Linked DNA regions of Oryzias latipes. The protein of the gene in region 1 interacts with the protein of each later gene in a biochemical or structural test. Links are inferred from orthologs where the notes say so. Each region holds a gene or a part of one and is shown on either strand. Other genes may lie near its edges.

What was found.
Region 2: the proteins of roquin-2 (region 1) and klhl6 form a complex in vitro, tested with the Homo sapiens proteins (2 studies listed by BioGRID, with this or other methods). The link is inferred for Oryzias latipes from reciprocal best matches to the Homo sapiens genes RC3H2 and KLHL6.

What each region holds. Positions count from the first base shown.
Region 1 is NC_019870.2:15,307,382-15,317,241, forward strand, and holds part of roquin-2, read left to right. Parts: intron 1-3,039; 5' UTR 3,040-3,102; coding exon 3,103-3,333; intron 3,334-3,411; coding exon 3,412-3,529; intron 3,530-4,040; coding exon 4,041-4,274; intron 4,275-5,683; coding exon 5,684-5,859; intron 5,860-6,650; coding exon 6,651-6,851; intron 6,852-6,939; coding exon 6,940-7,072; intron 7,073-7,750; coding exon 7,751-7,869; intron 7,870-9,101; coding exon 9,102-9,214; intron 9,215-9,332; coding exon 9,333-9,635; intron 9,636-9,860. UniProt on the Homo sapiens protein: Post-transcriptional repressor of mRNAs containing a conserved stem loop motif, called constitutive decay element (CDE), which is often located in the 3'-UTR, as in HMGXB3, ICOS, IER3, NFKBID, NFKBIZ, PPP1R10, TNF and in many more mRNAs.
Region 2 is NC_019879.2:24,289,897-24,299,756, reverse strand, and holds the end of klhl6 (kelch-like protein 6), read left to right. Parts: coding exon 1-405; intron 406-483; coding exon 484-721; intron 722-1,105; coding exon 1,106-1,308; intron 1,309-1,453; coding exon 1,454-1,667; intron 1,668-5,371; coding exon 5,372-5,670; 3' UTR 5,671-5,912; downstream 5,913-9,860. Other genes in the region: proteoglycan 4-like, read left to right, coding at 7,998-8,046, 9,053-9,349. UniProt on the Homo sapiens protein: Involved in B-lymphocyte antigen receptor signaling and germinal center formation.

The DNA.
Region 1 (9,860 bases):
TTTGTTTAGTTTTTTTCACATTTGGAAAATTTGCTTTTTTTCATATAAATTCACTTTTGAGTCAGGTGCGTCAGATGTGTTACAAGACTTTTACGAAATTCTATTAGAAGCAATTAGAAAATTATAAGGAATTGCATGTCCCCCCCCCCCCCCCCCCAAAAAGCTGTTGTTTGTTAATTTCTTTAAACTTCTATGAAAACGGGGGCTGCATCTGGGATGTGGAAGACTTCTGAAGGACAATATCACTGTGTGTTTTGTGCTCAAATTGCAGTTTATTTGACTTAAAATTAAGTAGGGGTTGTGGGATTTGCCACCCCAAACCACATTGCACTGGCCCTATTTGAGTTCTTTTGCTGGTGGTTGGTCCACAGAAGAGTGATCCCACGTCAACCCTTTGGGCTGGGTCCAACTGGGGCCCATGGGAAGAGCCCCAGCCACCAGGCACCTGCCTGTGAGCCCCAACCCCAGGTCTGGGCGACTTAGATTTTCAGTACTCATAAAGGGGTTGTAAACTGTCTTTAGTCTGGCTCGTCACCTAAGACCTGTCTGCCATGGGAGACCCAACCAGGTGCATTAACCATTGACATCTTAGCCCCTTGGATCAACAGAGCTCCGGGGTTATGTGATCTGGTCCGAATGCTTCCTGGTTGCCCCGCCAGGGAGATTTTCTAGATATGTGTCAATGGGCAAAGACCCCATGGAGAATCCACGACACACTGGAGAGACTGTCTCTTAGCTGGCCTGGGAACACCTTAGAGACGAGGAGACTGGAGGCAGTGGTTGGGCATCTTTACCTAGACAGCTACCTCCATGACCCGAACCCGGATGTGCGGAAGAAAATGGATGAATGAATAAAATAAAATAAAAATGCAGCAAGTTTTGTTTGTACTAACCTATATTTGAAATTCGACAAGTTCAAAAATATTTCTTGCAAAGGCAATCGTACTTTCTCCTTGTTATACAGTACTTTGAAAAATAAACTGTTTGTTGTTAAAATCATGAAGCTCTCTGGGTCTGGGTTTAGAAAGTGGACCCAGATTTCCTCTTGGTTCTTAAACTTTCTTGTCTCGTACACCAACAAAACGAAGGTTCAACGGTGGCAGCTGCATGAAGTGTTTGGGAACAAAAGACGGAAGCAAAGAGATAACAGCTTTCCCATCACGTCCAAGGTTTCTGTCTGCGTTTATCTATTCAAAGCTGTAGACATTAACAACTCAAGTTGTGGTTTAAAGAGGGATTCTCCTAATTTCATTATACAGTCATGTTAGGCACGAACGACTGGGATGCACCGCCTTTTTGCGCTTTCTTCTCTGCATACACATCTCTGTTCCAGTAACAGGCTGTATGGTTGGACTGTTAAACATCGGATGGGAAGTCTTGCTTCTCCTTTCCTTTCTGTTGTCGTCGGCACGCAAATTCTAAGCTGGGGCTGACGTTTTCACAGGACTTTCGTGTGTTGGAAAATGAGTAAAGCCTATTCTTTTTAGCAAACTGGACACAATGCTCACAATTAATCTATTTTTTGAGGAATTGAATGGAAAGAGACTCTCAAGTATGTATCCATGCTTAGTTCACTGTTTGAAGTTAACATTTTAATCTGGGTGGCAGCAGATCCTTATATAGTGTTTAATATGATTGCACTAAACAGAATGCACTGAAATGCATTAAAATTAATTCAACTCTCAGAGAATGACTTAATTTTTTTTTAATTATCTCCAATGTTCACCAAAAAAATGGTAAGAAAGAGTTGTAAAAGGATGACTAATTGTGGTGCCAGTAATATAAATCTCTATGAAGCAAGTAAGTTGTCATTATAAATTTAATACTAACTACTCAGGGAAAGTAGGGGTTTTGTATTTTAGCTGTTGGGCACAGGCGTTCTCATTGGTTTATCGTTTTGCTTTTTCATTCCTGTTTGCCAAATCAGACATGCTGTGCATTTTCATTTTACACACCATCCTAAATATAATTTATTGTTCAGATAAAAGGCACCCTCCTCAGTGATTACATCTGTACAGACCCTGTTTGCTGGACTCTGTGGGTGTCATATGGAAAGGCGTCTCCCATAGACCTTTTAGCCACACATCATCAACATGGAGTGCAGATATTTTCTGAAGTGGATAAAAGTACTTCTCTGTGTTAAAACAGGGATGCTAGGTGACGAATGTAATGGGGGACTGACAGGAAAAAAATGGACAAAATAATAACAGACTCTGATCTATTTCCCATGAGATCACTTCTTTCATATTGATCCATTTCTACAAACTTCAGCATTTATTTATAGAGGTGTGCTTAAATAAAAATAAATCAAATAGATCAATCAAATCTTTACCTAAAGACCCACGCTGATCATCTATAGCCATAGTGTTCCAAATGGTCATTAAATTATGATTATGCGGTTTTTAGCCAAAATCTCGGACACAGTTTCTACATAGCAGCAGGAGTTCACTGGAAATTCTGCCTCTGAGTTGTGGGCTAGACCGTTGAAAACAGAGCAACCCCGCCCCCCCTTCCCCTCCCCATTGCCGAGAGCTCGATTCAGGGAGCGTGTGGCCCGTCCAGCGTATTTTCTACATCACAAATATATATGTTCTTCTTCAAATGTCATTTTTTCTTCTGCTTCTGATTCAAATTGATTTGAATAAAGAATTATGAAGAAAAATCTTCCGTCATCAAATGTGACAAGAACATGTTAAAGACCCAAAACACTATTAGGTCTTTAAAATGCATTCATTGGTTTTCTTTTATGGCAATTTGTTGTAGTTTTTGGGGTAAAACAAAAACATTTTGTGAGTTTTTAGAATAAAAATTCATAATTTTACCAAAGAAAGTTTTTTGTTTTTTGTTTTTTTTACAAACAAAAATATTTTAAATGAAAAATTGACAAAGGAATTTTTACTTACAGTATGTGAATAGCAATGCATCAAAAATGTTATCAGACTTTTAACTTGTGGATTGAAATTGAACCTATTTCCGTGTTATTTCTCATCCATCTGCATTTGTCCTTTATAACAAGAGGCGATGTCACTCTTGTTGCAGGTGCACATTGACATGCATTCTTCCTGAGCTGGCCGGCGAATCCCCCTGCGGCTAGGCAGCAGGATGCCTGTGCAGGCGGCCCAGTGGACTGAGTTCCTGTCCTGCCCCATCTGCTACAATGAGTTTGACAGCAGCAGCCACCAGCCCATCAGTCTGGGCTGCTCTCACACAGTGTGTAAGACCTGCCTGCACAAGCTGCACCGCAAGGCCTGCCCCTTCGATCAGACCCCCATCAGCACAGACATCGACCTGCTGCCTGTCAACTGTGCCCTGCTCCAGCTGGTTGGAGCTCAGGTAAGGCTGAGTACACCGGTGGTGACTGGAGAAAAAAGCAAAGCAACTCAAACTCGAAACTCTTCCCTCCACTGTAAGGTCCCTGATGTTCAGCCGGTGAGCCTGAGCACTGCTGCAGAGGCTGGGCACTATGAAGTCTGCAGAGTGTGTGTGGAAGAACTGGCTCTCTACCTGAAGCCCATCAGCGGCACTAAAGGTACTGCATGTGTGCGCGCACTCACAGGATGCTTCATGATTGGCATTTATATATATGTGGAATGAGACTTCACATTTGGCGTGCGTGGGCTGCAGTCAAACTGGCTGCATGGTTTGGCATTTCCTCTTCCCTCTCACATTATGTAGGACGCTGCTGTACTTTAGTGGTAATGGAGAAAAATGAGGTTCTATGTGTGACCTCTGCAGAGAGACTCAGGCAAGTTCAGCCAATTTAAGAAATGTGCAACTTTCGTGATTTTTTTCTGTTTTATCATTTAAGTTTACTGCCATGTCAGAGCTTTGAAAAGCAAAAAATTGACAACTCTGTAGGAGTTTAGATTCAAATCTGTTGGAGCGTCAGAGTCTTTTGAGAAATAGGGCAGTTTGCACTAAACTAAAAAATGTGTTTTTCTATTTAGCATAATCAGAAATATATCAAATAAAAACATATCTTTTAGTAAACTTTCATATATGTGCAGTTTACCTAAAGAGGTATCACTTCCCTACTACAGGTGTGGCGAGCCTGAGTCCGAGCGTGCTCAGTCGGCCCATGCAAAGGAAGCTGGTGACCTTGGTGAACTGTCAGCTGGTGGAGGAGGAAGGCCGCGTGCGGGCGGTTCGAGCATGCCGCTCTCTGGGGGAGCGGACAGTAACCGAGCTCATTCTGCAGCACCAGAACCCCCAGCAGCTGTCTGCCAACCTGTGGGCAGCAGTGAGGGCGCGTGGCTGCCAGTTTCTGGGACCTGGTGAGTGTCTGCTGATGAAAACCAAACTTAAACACTCAAACAAACAACTTTATGATGAATGCAATAAAGCTGTCACAAATGACAAGTGTAAAACAGATATTTGCTGTAGATATGTCATTAAATCACACCATTACGGTGGTTTTTCAGATTAACCTTTGTAAAAGAAGAGGATAATCAGAGTAAAAATCTTTAAAATAATTTTATTTTAATGACCAACTATCATATATGCAATATGAAACAAATTTTAAAAATGAAAACATTTACATAATTACCAAAAAAATAGGAAAATACACACAAAACTTTATATTTTTGTTGAACTTTGTTTAGAACATGGAGTACTTATTTAGGATAAAAACTTTATCACAGATTAAACATTGATTTCTAAGAGGAGCATTTTCCTTGATGAGGAAAAAAGAATAACAAATGCAGCTGTGAAGTTATATGTATTTATTTTTATTTGTAAGAATTTACACACTCTTATACTACAAATGAAGTATTTTAAAATGCTCAAATAGAAAAAAAAAACCCTAACAGGCTACATTTAAAAAAAACATTTTTTGGTAAAGAATTATTTTTTTTATGCTGTAACCTATGGACTTTGCACTATTACATTATAGCTTGTTGTACATTTAGTGGGTAAGATACTCCAAAATTGATTCTAGCTTCTCAATGAAAGACATTTCAGCTTATTTAGGTTAAGCCCAAATCCCCTCCCTACTATTAAACTACAAAAAAACTGTATAGTGCAGAACTATCTAGTGCCCTGGAGTTTTAATGCAATTTGAACACCGTGCTCAACACTTTTAATTTTCTAATGCCAAAAATCATGTGACAGATTTCCAAAAGTAAAACCCTAATAACTGTGAACATTTTACAAGTATTTTATGAATCTACTGTGTTTTGATGATAAAAAAAACTTGGATGATTGATATAAAAATAAATAAAAATAAAAAATGTTCCTCATGAAAAATCATTCAAATGCAATGCATTGTGGTCTATATTAGCCAATCTAGTGAACATTGATGCAGACAGGGTTTACACAGAGACTTACGGGAAATTTCTAGGGCAATTAGACACAACCAGTTTTTGTTGCTAGTTTGTGTTTAAAAATCCTCATTGGCTGTGAGTGTTTCCTCGTCAGACTCGACGCTGATGCTTTTTCCTGGTGTCCTGTGATGATTACTCATAGGGCAGATTCTGAATGGGAAATCATTTCTCATCCTGATAACAAAATGAGTTCATACAAAATTCTGAGGACACCTTTTTATTGTTTTTGCAGTACTGTCATATGCAGCTTCCCCGGTTCTCACCTGAATTCTTCATGTGCGTTTGTGTTTTTTCCTTACTTTCATCCTTCTCGCTTTCATCTCTCGCCAACTCTTCGCCTCCATCCAACCTCTCTTCACCAGCCATGCAGGAAGATGCCCTGAAGCTGGTTCTGCTGGCGCTGGAAGATGGCTCAGCTCTGTCCAGGAAGGTCTTGGTTTTGTTTGTCGTCCAAAAACTGGAGGCTCGGTTCCCCCAGGCTTCGAAAACCAGCATAGGTCATGTGGTGCAGCTGCTCTACAGAGCTTCCTGCTTTAAGGTGTGGACAATAAAACTGGGCCACATCTACACAACAGACCAATGACTACATCTATGCAAGCTCATGTGAACACTATGAACTGATTTTAAGCCACAAAAGCAAGACTTTTCTAAAGCAACTGTTGGTTGATCTCTCAAGAAAAACAGTACAGCAGCTGGAAAATGTGCTCTCCAGTGTTAAAAATGTCCTAAATCCTGCAGCTTCAGTCAGGGCATGGGCTTCTGCACACCCATTTTTAGAGTGCATGTATTTTTGGGCTTGTTATTTGATAACAGACATCACTGGCAGGGTTATTTTCCTGTAGCCTCTATTTTCTCCCTCTGCCCTGCCTCGGCAGCCAAGGTGGCCGACAACGACGGATGAACTCCAAGGACGGAGTTCTGCTTGAGTAATTGCATCTCAGATTATAACTAATGGCTGTTGTGGTTTGTGTGTCGGCGTCCTGTGATGATTACTCATAGGGCAGATTCTGAACAGGGAGAGTCCCCTTTGTCTGATCTGAATTTGAGTTTGTGAGTCTGAGGATGCCACACGCACACACACACACACAGAAATGCACTCTATGGATTGCAAGTGTCACTTTAGGAACCTTCTGAGAGAAAAAAACTTTAATAAATTGTTTGGTCGATTTTATTGAATAGCAGTTGAAAGAAAGCTCAAAGATAAAGCTGTCAGAAAAAGTTCTCATGCATCCATCCCAACGCCTCCTCGTCTCTCCTCCCACTCTCCTCTCTCCTGCTGCGTCTCGTCCTCTTTGTTCTCCCTCTGTGGCCTGGCCTCATCATCATCAGGTGACGAAGCGGGACGAGGACTCCTCGTTGATGCAGCTGAAGGAGGAGTTCCGTAGCTACGAAGCCTTGAGGAGAGAACATGACGCGCAGATCGTCCATATCGCCATGGAAGCGGGGTTACGCATCTCCCCAGAGCAGTGGTCCTCTCTGTTGTATGGAGACCTGGTTCACAAGTCACACATGCAGTCCATCATCGATAAGGTACCACAGTCCACACATGTGTATATGCTTGTATCCATCTTTGATTTCATAAAATCAGAATATCAGACTTCGACCTTATCTTCTGTAGCTCCAGTCTCCAGAGTCGTTTGCAAAGAGCGTTCAGGAGCTGACAATCGTTCTGCAGAGGACTGCAGACCCTGCTAACCTAACAAGCCTTAGACCACATCTAGAGCTACTGGCCAACATAGACCACAACCCAGGTAATCACCCACCCTCAACAGGCTCAAGCACTTCAACAATGTCACTGTTTCTGAATCAAAATGACTAAAAAACTCAGATCTTATAAGTGGATAAATAAAATCAACAGTTAAACAATCATTTTAATGGGGGGAAAAACAAGTAAACATGTTTTTGTTTATTCACTGTCCACTGGAAGTAAGCTTTGCTTTGTAAAAAAAAAGGGGGGGGGGGGTTCTGTTTTTATTGTAAATAACTTTTGGTAGTTTTAAAAACCTTTCAAACTCTTGAAGTTGGAAAGGTTTATGAAAATGAGTTTGTGTGTTTAATAAATGATGGTATGGCATTTTCAAGTTTCAACCTTTTTAGGAAGCCCGACCATCTGTTGACAATTTACATACTGTGGTGTTAGAGCTGAAATTGGATGCACTTTTTATATTTAGGATGACAACTACAGATATTAATATGAAAACGTTTTTTGTATTCACTTTTTCCATTTTTGGAGAACCTTCTGCCTTTATTAAGTACGATAAAGATACAAAAACAGAGAGAAAAATGTCACCAACATGTGGATCTTTAAAGATTTTACTTTAACACACATTGTTTATATGTTTTTTTAGTGTAATTTTCTAAAATTGATGGAATATTTTCGCCATTTTAACACTATTTTATTTTGCCTGCATCTTTCAATCTTAATGCAGATGCCCCCTCGCCGTCATGGGAGGAGCTGGAAAGTGTAACCCTGGCGGTAAAGCTGGTCGTTCACGGACTAGTGGAGTTCACACAGAACTTTAGCAAGAAGAGCCACGACCCCCCACAGGTAAACTGAAGCAGAAAAATGTCCAAATGCTACAAACAACTTTCAAACTAATGAACACTTTAAAATACTTCTCACTTAAAACCCTTCTTGGCTTCTAAGGCAGTTCTAAAGGACAGGAGATGCTGTCTGACCACACCTAATCTCATTTAGATTCATGAGATTTAAACACATGCAGGGTTTTTCCCATTATTTCAGAAACTAGGTTGTGTTTTCTTGCTTCTAAACACTAAAATTCAGGAGCCATAAATAAACTGAGGTTTAAATAGTTTAAATGCCCTTTTTTGAAGTATTGGTTTTATTTTGAAATATTATTTATGTGATCAATAATGGAAAAAGTTTCAGTCTAACTTTACTGTAAAAAAAGTGAGCAGGTTCTATATTATTATTATTTTTATTTTTTTTGCTCTTTATTTTGATAAAGACAGGAAGTAATATGAGTTTTGCAGCAACCTTATCTCTTTTTAATAACACTGGAAACCAAATATATTGGATTCAGAGTGGATGACTTACATCACATAAGTGGACTCTTAACAGCTTCTCAGGCTGTGAAGTCGCTGTACAAAATGAGAAGAAATGTTCAGGTACTAAAAAATGTTTTTTTATACAGCTCAAATGTGATATATTTTATTTTAGTAGAAAACGATTGGTGAAATAAAACCCTCCTGAATATCAACAGCTCTAAGAAAAAGTTTTCAATAAAATTTTAGTTGAGTCTGACTACATATAAAATGAAAATTCAATACAGATTTGCTTTACTATCCATACGCTTCACAAAAACGGATGGAAATTGCAACTTCACATTAGCAGCATGCACTTTTAGACTGAGTTGAAATAAAAGTTGTTATTATATAGGCTTATATAGACTCACCAGTTCTGTGGTGACTGCATGTTCTTACTACTGCTATTGATAGTCTAATAAAATATTTAAGGACTCGACTTCTAACTATGCTGTGCCACAAAATTACTTGACTTTGAAATATTAAAAAATAAACTAAAGATGACATTTTAGGCAAAAATGAATTAAAAATTAAAAAAAAGAAAGATGCTGAAGGAACTCCAGACTTATCCAGTGCCTGCACTCCCTCACTGGTGTAGTTAAAGAGTTAAACCAGCCACAGGGTAAGGATGTAGAAGGCCTGATGGTTATGTAATGTCAGATAAAATATTGAAATACTACGATTAATTTTCAGGACTGTGCGGGTAATTTGTGTCGCATTTTTGTGGATTTGTAGCCTCAGGCCAACAGCAAGTACAAGACCAGCATGTGCCGAGATCTTCGTCAGCAGGGAGGCTGTCCTCGAGGAACCAACTGTACATTTGCACACACACAAGACGAGCTGGAAAAGTGAGGGTTTTTTCATTTTACAGCATAATCAAATTCTGAATTTCTCCTATTTGTATAATCATAAATATCTCATGGAGCATTCTGAGCGTGTCCTAAGCTTTGTCGCCTTCTCGTGCAGATTTCGACTGAGGAACAAGAAGAGCAGCTGTGTGGGTCGTGCATTCCCTCTCGCCCCAGGTGTGATGAATAAAACATTCTCGATGGAGGCCGGCATCCACACCGACGTATCTGCAGGGGTGGGGTCGGACCTGAAAGGCACGGCGGAGAAAGCAGGGGCCAAGATGGAGGGGGTTCCTGGTCTGGCTCACCAGTCCCTGATCTCCAGAGGCACGGACAGGAAGAGACCCGTGCCAAACGGAATCAGCGGCGGGGGTAACGGGGTACCAGGAACCAACAGAGCTTCAGCAGGATCATCCGACCCGTATGTTGACCATTGTTCTTATTTTACTTGCTGTCGGCATCTGCTTCATTTTTGTAGTTCCAGCCCTCAATCTTTTTTTATTTTAATCTTAATCCTTAATCTTCAACATGCATTGAGGATTACGCCTCACTTGCATGATCATTTATATTAATCCAGTCAAAATCTAGAAGCTTCCAGATGTGTGGACTTACTTCCACTGTGTCTTTGTACATTTTTGTCCAGGGT
Region 2 (9,860 bases), on another chromosome or scaffold:
CTCCAACTTGAGAGCTGTGTTGGCATCCTGAATCTGGCCCACAGCCACGCCCTGCCAGAGCTGAGGACCACAGCGGAGGAGTACATCACCTACCAGTTCTCTCAGGTGATCCAGCAGCAGGACTTTGTGGAGATGCCTGCTCAGTCTCTGGAGGCGGTCCTGCAGAGTGACGAGTTGGATGTAAGGTGTGAGGAGTGCGTTTTCGAAGCGCTGATGAGCTGGGTGAGAGCCCGGCAGAGCGAACGCTGTCCGCTACTGGCCAGGCTGCTTTCACACGTCCGACTGCCACTGCTGGACCCCGCGTACTTTGTGGAGAAAGTGGAGTCGGATGAGCTGATTCGCTGCTGCAGTAAGGCCTTTCCTTTGTTGCAAGAGGCACGCACCTTTCACCTGTCCGGGAGGGAGGTCAGTATTAGGAGTAGGTGGTGGAAAATGTCTCCCAATCGTCTCCCTACCATGACACTCCCACCCCCGTGTTTTCAGGTGGTCTCAGAGCGAACCAAACCTCGTTTGCAGCACTTTCTGTCCGAGGTCTTCCTCATCATCGGAGGTTGCACAAAAGACGAGCGCTTCATCTCCACCGTCACCTGCTTGGACCCTCTCAGGCGCAGCCGGCTGGAGGTCGCTCGGCTGCCAATGACGGAGATGGAGGACGAATCCCAGAACAGAAAATGGGTGGAGTTTGCTTGCGTTACCTTCCACAATGAAGTGTATATATCTGGTGAGAGCAGACTATTTTCTAAATTTGTAAACCTTCTGTTGCTTTTGTCAGCCGCTTTATAACCTTGTTCCTGGTTCTAATGAGTCTCACTGAAAGTCCAATGTGAAGTTTTGAATGGTAAAGTTAGAAAGCTGAACTAAACAACAGGAAGAGGAGAGTTATTGTGGTTTTAGGTGCTTCCTTACTTAGGAACTGTTGCCACAACTCTCGACGTCCTCGAAACCTGAAGAAAACGTTAAGACATGTTTACATTTTATCATCACAACCACTGTGCTCTGTGGTTCAGAGCAGGACACAGTCCTTGACCAACATGACTGCACTGAAAAGTAAAACGTTAAGCAATAGAGGAAACACTGATGTTTTTTTTTTTTTTTGTAACGGTAGGGGGGAAAGAGACGCAGCATGATGTTTGGAAATATAACGGCGCTCTGGACAAATGGATTCAAGTCGAGCCCCTCTCAGTGGGACGCTGGAGGCACAAGATGGCAGTTCAGAATGGGAAAGTTTATGTTCTGGGGGGTTTTGATGGAACTCAGAGACTCACAAGTGTGGAGGCCTATGATCCTTTTCACAATCGATGGACACAGGTAACATGATAACATTTAAAATGCTGTCCCTATTTTACATACTGAAAAAAAAAATCACCCTATTTGAATTCAATCCCTTCTTATAAAAAGTTTCCTGCTTTAACCCCTTGACCTCTTTATTTTACTTCTTCTGTGCTGGCTGCAGGCGACACCTCTGGCTATCGGTGTGAGCTCCTTTGCTGCAGCAAACTTTGACCGATGGATCTACGTGATTGGCGGGGGGCCAAATGGAAAACTGTCCACTGATAAGGTTCAGTGCTGGGAACCAGGAACGGACAGTTGGGAACTGCGAGCGCCCATCCCCATTGAGACCAAATGCACCAACGCTGTCACCTTCAAGAACTGCATCTACGTCGTTGGTGAGTTTAGGCCAGTTTTGTTTGGATCTAAACAGGGGTCTGCACCCTGAGGCTTCAGAGCCACACGTGCCTCTTTGACCCCTCCTTTATGGCTCTGTAGTCAAAGAACAATGCAATGTTTTTAACTTAAAAACTAACGTATTTTTTGGAATAAACATCAAAACTAAGTCAGAAGAGTCAAACTTTATTTGACAAACAGTGGAAGGAAAACACCAATTGCTCCCATGATGCTCCAACAATCCATCAAGCGGTGCAGCTTTTTTTACCAAAGTGAAACATTTTTTGCGTCGTTTAGCACACAATATCAATTATAGGTCAGTAAGCACAACCAGAATTCATACTGAAGGCACATCAGATTAAGCAAACTGGCTAGTCCTAAACAAAATTTAAGGATATTAAGTGTACCATGTGGTCCAAAAATTACCTCTGATTTAATTTATGGTAGTTATATTTACAAATGTCTGGCTGAGATGCATCAACAACAACAAAACAAACCATGTAAAGTCCCCCCCCCCATCACTGCTGACATCACACCACCTATATTTGCTACATTGAGATGATTCTAAGTGGCACACGGTGTCTTATTTTGAAACAAAGTCATGTAACCCTTTCTTTCTTTATTTTATTAATGCAAACAGAAATGATTATTTAATTTTATCATAAAAGGAACAATAATAGAAATGCAAATCAAGTGTCTTATTTTTGTAAAGGTTGAAGTGAGACCTTTTGGCTTCCAATGGGTTTTCTTTGTGAGGTTGTTGTTCACTTTCATATTGCATATCTCCCACAGCGAATCAGCTTTCACTGATTTGGACAGGTTGTTTGGCAAAGATTTTTACACCGAACGCCTTTCCTGCCACAACCCTGAATTTTATCTGGGCTAGGGACCGGCACAGACTTGGGCCCCTTTGTGGCTACATAATTAGTCAGCAGCTAGAAGGGTCTTGCCCAAAGACCCACACTGGATGAAGATCATCGTGCCCCTGGGATTCGAACCCTGGTTTCCCATGTGCCAGTCCTGCACTCAAACAGTTTCAAAATGATCAGTAACGACTGAGTCATCCATTCGGGGAAGCACAGCAGAAACACTGTAGGTTTACCTAGAAGGGGAAACCAAAAGCTTTAAATAAGTTTGCATCTTTTGTACAAAAAATACTCAAAAAGTAAGCAAATGTAGAAAAATTAAACAAATTTGCTAGTCTGTTTTGAAGATCCTAACAAACAACTCTTTTATGAGTAAATGTAAAAAAGCTTTTTCCATAAACAAATAGAAGCATTTAAACCATTATTTTTTTAAACATTTTTGTTTTACTTTTTTACTTGCTACATTTCTTTTCACCTATTTAATTTAATTCAATTCAATTTTATTTATATAGCCCAATATTACAACAGTAGTCGTCTCAATGGGCTTCATACCAGTAATTGTATAATGAAAATAAAATCATAATTTACATGATGCCATAGAATTCAATAGGTAACGGCTAAACTAAACTAAACATACTAAGCTAAACGAGGCATCCCTCCTTCTCTGCAATTTAGACAGTATTTGCTGCGGTGAGGTTTCGTTTTGACAATTACAGCATTAAAAGCTAAAAGACCGTTAGCGGGGTGGAGGGAAATGGAGTGAGGATGGAGGAGAATCCTGTTTTGGAGGCGGATCAGTCTCATTAAAATGAGAATGATTGGGTGTCAGAAGTGGCCGTTTTGAGTTTGCCTTTAAGGTTGCTCTGATGAGTCAGAATGATTACAAAATCTCCCACATCTGTGTGAGAGTCATCTAGGAAGTCGCTATTTTCAGTTATTGATGACTTTACAGCAGGGGTGGGCATCTCCAGGTCTCAAGGGTCGGTGTGTCAGTGTGATTTCCAGATTTTGGTGCCCTACTCATGGCTTATTACTAGGGGTGTAATGATTAATCAATTTCTATTCCTACGAGCCAATCAGATCGATCCGTCTGAGGCAAGTTGTTAATCGAATCAACCTAAACCATTAAAAATGTGTTTTAAAATAAAATAAATTGATTATATGAAAATGGAAAATACCATTCGAATTGAGACATGGTATCTTTATTTTACTATAACATAAAAACAACAAAGTGCATCACAGCGGACAACACTTGATGTGATGTCAACAAAAAATGATCAAGCCATCATTCCAGTCCAATGTGTGGAAACACTGAATTTAGCAAAGTCATGTGACCAAACAATGTGCTAGAATGTTCCAATAATGTTCCCTTTGGATTAGTTTGATGTGAAAAAACAGCTGAACTTTGGGAAACTAAAATGGGAATGGATTTGGAAGTAATTCTTGTTTACTTTATTGTTTTTTCTGCACATTTAATTTATTGATGATCATCTTTTAAGAAGTACAAGGAGTCTGGAAAAACTTCAACCTGCATTGTTCAGTACAGGTTTTTATCTCTGAGTCTCACTGACTGAATTTTTGGCTAAAGATGTCCTGGACTGAATTTAGGTCATTGAATTAGATCGTTCAAAATGAACCAAAATCGGCTATGAATTGTATCGGCAGCCACAAATTATGATATGAATAAAAGCGTTGGTAAAATGAATCTTAAGATTACCTGTATCAGACAATTAGGACATGGCAGGGTAGGGTATGTTTGAAAACAACCAGCAGTGGCCAACCCTGCTTTACAGTGATTCATGCAGGGCTAACATAGGTTATGTTATTTTTGGACTTATATTTCCTAAAATAAGAAATATAACAGTAAAAAATAACTGCATGTCTGAGGTTGTGAGGTTGTTGGGCAATTTTCAAACTTGAATTTAACAGATAATGTCTGTTGTTTTATTGAAAATTAATCCAAAAGTAAATAAGTTCTAACTTTAACACATTAACGTTGTTAGTGTTTTTACTTTGGTACAGTAAGGTTATGATGCTAACATAACATTTCAGATCACAACTTGACTTTAGAATCTTCTACACAATTTTTTAAGACAATTTTTCTAATGACTTACTGCCTTATGTAAGCTCATATGTGATTGGGATTTTAAATTATACATTATTGTACTACATCGATGGGGAATAACACAACAGCAGTTAGACTTATGACAGTGCAAAAGCCACGTTTGTGCAGGATGCAAAACATTTCACCATGAATGCTCAAAAATTTTAAAGTTACACTTCCTGGACTCCAAAGGGTTTTTTGCCGACACCTGCTGCCTAAAACTGTGACGTAACTATATGCTGAAATATACAATATATGAAGCTGCACATATGCAATCCTATGTTCTACATGATTTTGTTCTTTGCTTTTTAAGTGCAGATCATTTATGATTAGAAAATTAAGCTTTCCTGGGAGGCAGGACTTCTACGGTTTCTCTTAGTTTATTGAAAATTAAGTTTGTAAAGAAAAAAAAGCGGTTGTGTAGTTGTAGAAAAATGAATTTGGGTCTGCATTTAAAAAATTTGGAGGATGTTTTTTTTTCTAATCCTTTTTAATAAAAGAAAAAAATCCAAACAAGCTACTGACCCCTAAAATGCCTCATGTCCAATTTAAGTTGGGAAAATTTAAAAAATGTGACTTGTATTTTAACATTATCACCGAAGTACGACAAAACCCATTTAAAAAAATGTGCTTACTTCATTTACTATCTTTAAATATATATTTTGGAAGAAATGCAAGTTTTTCAATTTAACCCTTACTGAAATTAGCCTTTCTAAATGTTATTTTGTGATTCCAGGTGGTGCCATGAATGCCATGTACTGCTACTCCCCTCTGAGCGACACCTGGACCCTCGTGTCACGTCTAGGAGAACGGGCAAGTTGTGCCATTGCAGCCTGCAACAACAAACTCTTCATAACCGGAGGAAGAGACAACAAGAACCAAGTCATCTCCACTGTCATGTGCTGGGATGTAACGCAAGGAGTGTTGACGGAGGAGTGCGTTTTACCGATGGGAGTGTCCCATCACGGCAGTGTGACACTGATGAAGTCTTACACGCAAATACACAAAATAACCCGTCCAGCGGAGTCCCAGTGACAAACACTGTCAACAGGAACTAATGGGGCAAAATGGGGTTTAAAAATAAAGTGGGACATTTGCATGTACTGATTTTTTCCAGTGTAGACTTGCCACTGTGCACGAGGCATGTGACCATGTTTTTGTTGATGTGAAGATAAAAATATACATGTTTTTTAATCTTAAGGTTTACATTTTATTTTGACCTTTTTGTATAAGGTAATTTATGCAGTGGTAAAAGCAACAAAGCTATTTTAACTGTTGTGTTGCGAAGGTTTTTTCTTAAAAACGTGTTACGTCCACAACATAGTTGGTCTACATCAGGGTCTGCAGCCTTCAACACTTAGAGCCATTTCGGTTGATTTCTCCCCGACCACAACCCAGCAGAGAAGTACGGCACTGATTTGTATTTGTGTTATTGTTACTTTTAGGATACATATAAATGAATTGTTGTTTTTAGAGCATAAATTAAACATAATTATAAAGATTATTTTTTTTCAAAATATGAAAAACTTTATAACTTTTGACAGACGTTTACATAACTTCCTTTCAAAATAAAAGCTCCTCTGCATTACAGTACATAGCATCATCTCATTGTACCAAATGTAATAGTATAGTGTAATGTCAGCAGTGAAAATCTAACTAACCAAAATGAAATTAGAGCTAATTAAGTGACCCTAATAATATCTTCTGAACCATAAGGCACACTTAAAATCCTTGAATTTGTTCAAAAGTAGAAAATCTGTCATACAACCAGGTGTGCCCTAATTCCTAATGCGCTTATTGACCCTCCAAAAGATTTTCTGTGTTTTATGCCGCACAAAATCTGTCAAAATATTTGAGTTTGACTTGTGATACATACAGTCATCAAATGTATGCGAATGAGTTAAAGTTTGAATTTGTTTACTTTGCTTTTTACTTTGCAATTACTTTTTAAAGTTACATTTTTTTTATTTTTCTTTAACCAGAGGAGAGGTAGTCCTTAGTTAATGTGGCTCTGGAACAGCAGGTAGCAGAAGTAAGACACACAATGGAAAGGTTTATTTTTGTTACTAAATGAAAACAAAAAGAGGAAGATGGGAAGGTAGCGGCTATAATTGGGCGAAAAACGTTAGATAAATAGAAAAAAAACAGACCTAATTATTCTGTCTCCAGCAAAACAAAAATGTCTTCATAAGTTATAACATCTGTCCAAAAAGCAAATCAAAACCTCGCTAAGAGGTGGCACCAAGCAACTTACCTATAGCAGTGATTCTGTATGTGGAAAAGTACAGAGTACCCTGTCCAAAAACCCTTCCACATGCAACCAAAAGATGGGTCATGATGAGCCCCTTTTTAATGTCTGTGTCGGTTTTATGTGATCCAGGTGACAGCCTTGGGGCCTCCACCAGAAATGTTTGCTTAGATCATCAAGGAGGACATGAAGAGGGGGAAAAAACAAAAAGGCAGTGATTCCCAAGATCTCTGTGCACAACAACATGGAACGTTGCAAACCAGTCAAACCTGCCACCTGAGTCATGCTGAAAGTCAGCGGCCCTTTAAAGCAAAAGTCGGTTAACACACTCAAGTGAAAAGGGGAACTAAGGTAAACATACTATGGGGACCAGTAGTAATTATATCTAAGATGAGACAGGGATGAGTTACATAACTGCATTTTATCTGGAGCCTCAAAATTAGGTAGGGTAAAAGTAGAAAAAAATAGTTTTTTTTTCTTTTTTAAACGATCAATGAAGGTTTTGCCTTAAAGCAATATCATATCAATAAATGGCAAATCTTGGATGAAAAAAAAACGAATTTCTCTCTCTCTTTCCTATTTTATTTTTATTTTTTTACATAACTTTGTAGAAGTTTTAACAAACAAATAAATGACACCACACATATCCGGAAATTTACTATGAAATTCCCCGCCGGAAACTCTTAAACTTTTACTCGTTAAACATTGACAACATTTTCTGTTGATTTTTTTAACCATAATTTGTGCATGTCCCTTTGAGCCTGGTCTAATTAAAAAATGTAATGAATTGACTTATAAATATGTATTTTCCTGAATACGTTTTAACTACAATGTAAAGGACGAGAACCGATACCATGACATTTATTGCGAAATTCCATGAACCGGAAACTCAGGTGTTTCTCTCGCCAAACACTGGAAGAGTACTTACCTTTTGCCTTGTTTTTATCCAAAGAATTGTGTTTTTAGACCTGTTGTAGTCAAACGTTAATTATTTTTGATTTGTTGGAAAAGAAAATCGTAAAGTAGTTCGAGTTTTTTAAGTGCATGACAGGTAACGTCGGTAGGATTTACCTGAGAGTCCCGTAGTGAAAGTAATGACCCACCTTTTTTCAACATGAAATCCCGATCTCTTCTCCCCTACTGTATTTGTTTGATCAATTTGGGTGAGTTCTTCCTCATACTAACTTTTTAAATTAGTTTAATAAAGGATGTGTCATGTTTGTTAAAATGTCGTCGGAAAAGTAAACTAATGGTGTTTTTCAGGAGTTCCTGAGAACAGAAACTAATTTCCGGAAAATCTCCGTAAAATTCCTTATTCTTTCTCTAAGTAACTCTGCGACACTATAAGATATTTTTTAGCAACATTGATAAGGTTTAACTGCATGTATGTTTCTGTATCATAAAACCTTCACGTTGTTTGACCTTCAAAATAGTCTTTTGGAATCCACCCCGTTTACCAAAATAAAAGGCTTTCCACACAAAATCCCATACAGAACCATTTTGTTGTTGTTTTTAAACCACAAATCTAAATCAAGGTATAACCATATTGTAACCTTGCAGTTTTTATTCAATAAATAATTGATCAACTCAACATAAGAAACAACTGAAAGCTCTTAACAACCAACAGAGCAAAGGACGAACATTTGTGAATTTTGAGAATACATTTTTTTTACATTAAATTTCTTTTCAAGCCAGGTATTACAGGTTCTTCAGGGTGGATGTTGTACAAATAATTAATAAAAGTTATGCAGAATAAAACGGTTTATGATGAATTAGATTTTCCTGTCCCATTATTTTGAATCTAGTGATTCACTCCAAAAGAGGAGTGCAAAACAATCAAATATTTTAAAGTAAACATTGTGGAAAAAAAACATGATCATGTCAACTAATATATGACCTACAAGCACCGTTGAATGCAGAAGTCAGCTCTGTTCAGGAAAACCGGGTTGTTCTGTAAACCACTGCATGTCATTCAGGCAGAAAAGCCAGCAACTCATCCTGCTCCACACCTGCTACGTCTCCTGAAAGTTTCTTTATTTGTAGAAGTGTAACAATAATGTGATGCTTTGACTGTTTTGGATAGCAAATGTTTTCTCAATTTGTCATTAAATAATATAACTATTTGAAGACTTTAACTGTTGTAATCTCTCTCTTTGTTTTTTTGCTTAGTGACTACTGCAGCCCTAAAGTATGCCCTTGTGGGGAACAGCACCACTTTTAAGACGGGCATCAACACACCAGAGCCTCCTGAGGAAATTCTGTGGAAACATAATGGCAACAAAATGGTTGAGTTTGACGGGCAGCAGCAGAAACCCTTTAACCCGTTTATAGATAGGATCACTCTTAACTGGCATACCGCAGAACTGACGATTGCAAATCTCAAGTATGAAGACAGCGGAGATTATGATGTGGAAGTATTTGCTAATAAAAAATTACATCCTGCGTCTTTTCAACTGGAGGTCATCGGTAAGTTTTTGAGTCGTTTGCAAACACGCTCCACATTGTCCTCAATTGCTGGAAACCTGTAAGCTGCTTTAGGCTAAAGCATCTGATGATTATTGAAAATGCGAGAATAAGAATAAATTTAAACCTTTTTAATAACTCACAACTTCTATCTGGCTTAGAGCCGCAGACTTGTGATTGAAGAAATAACTTTAAAAAATGTCTAAAAACAAAAGAAAAAGTTAGAAGACTTGGCGTCACGCTGGATGTTGCCTTGGTCCATAACTTGGTTGGAGGATAACTCATTTTCTTCTGGAATTCCACAGTGGCTGCAGTTTTTTACAGAAAAGAGTATTTGTGTTTTTCATACATGCATCCAGAAAGGGTTTGATTGCTTTGATTAGAATTTAGCTTGTAGATTTTAAAGCAACGTGTTTTTTTTTAAGGAAATAGTTTCTGTTTGCACCATTGTTATCTACTGATGTCTTCACGCCCAAGAGATGAACTTAATATCTAACCGGTTTTATCTGTTAAC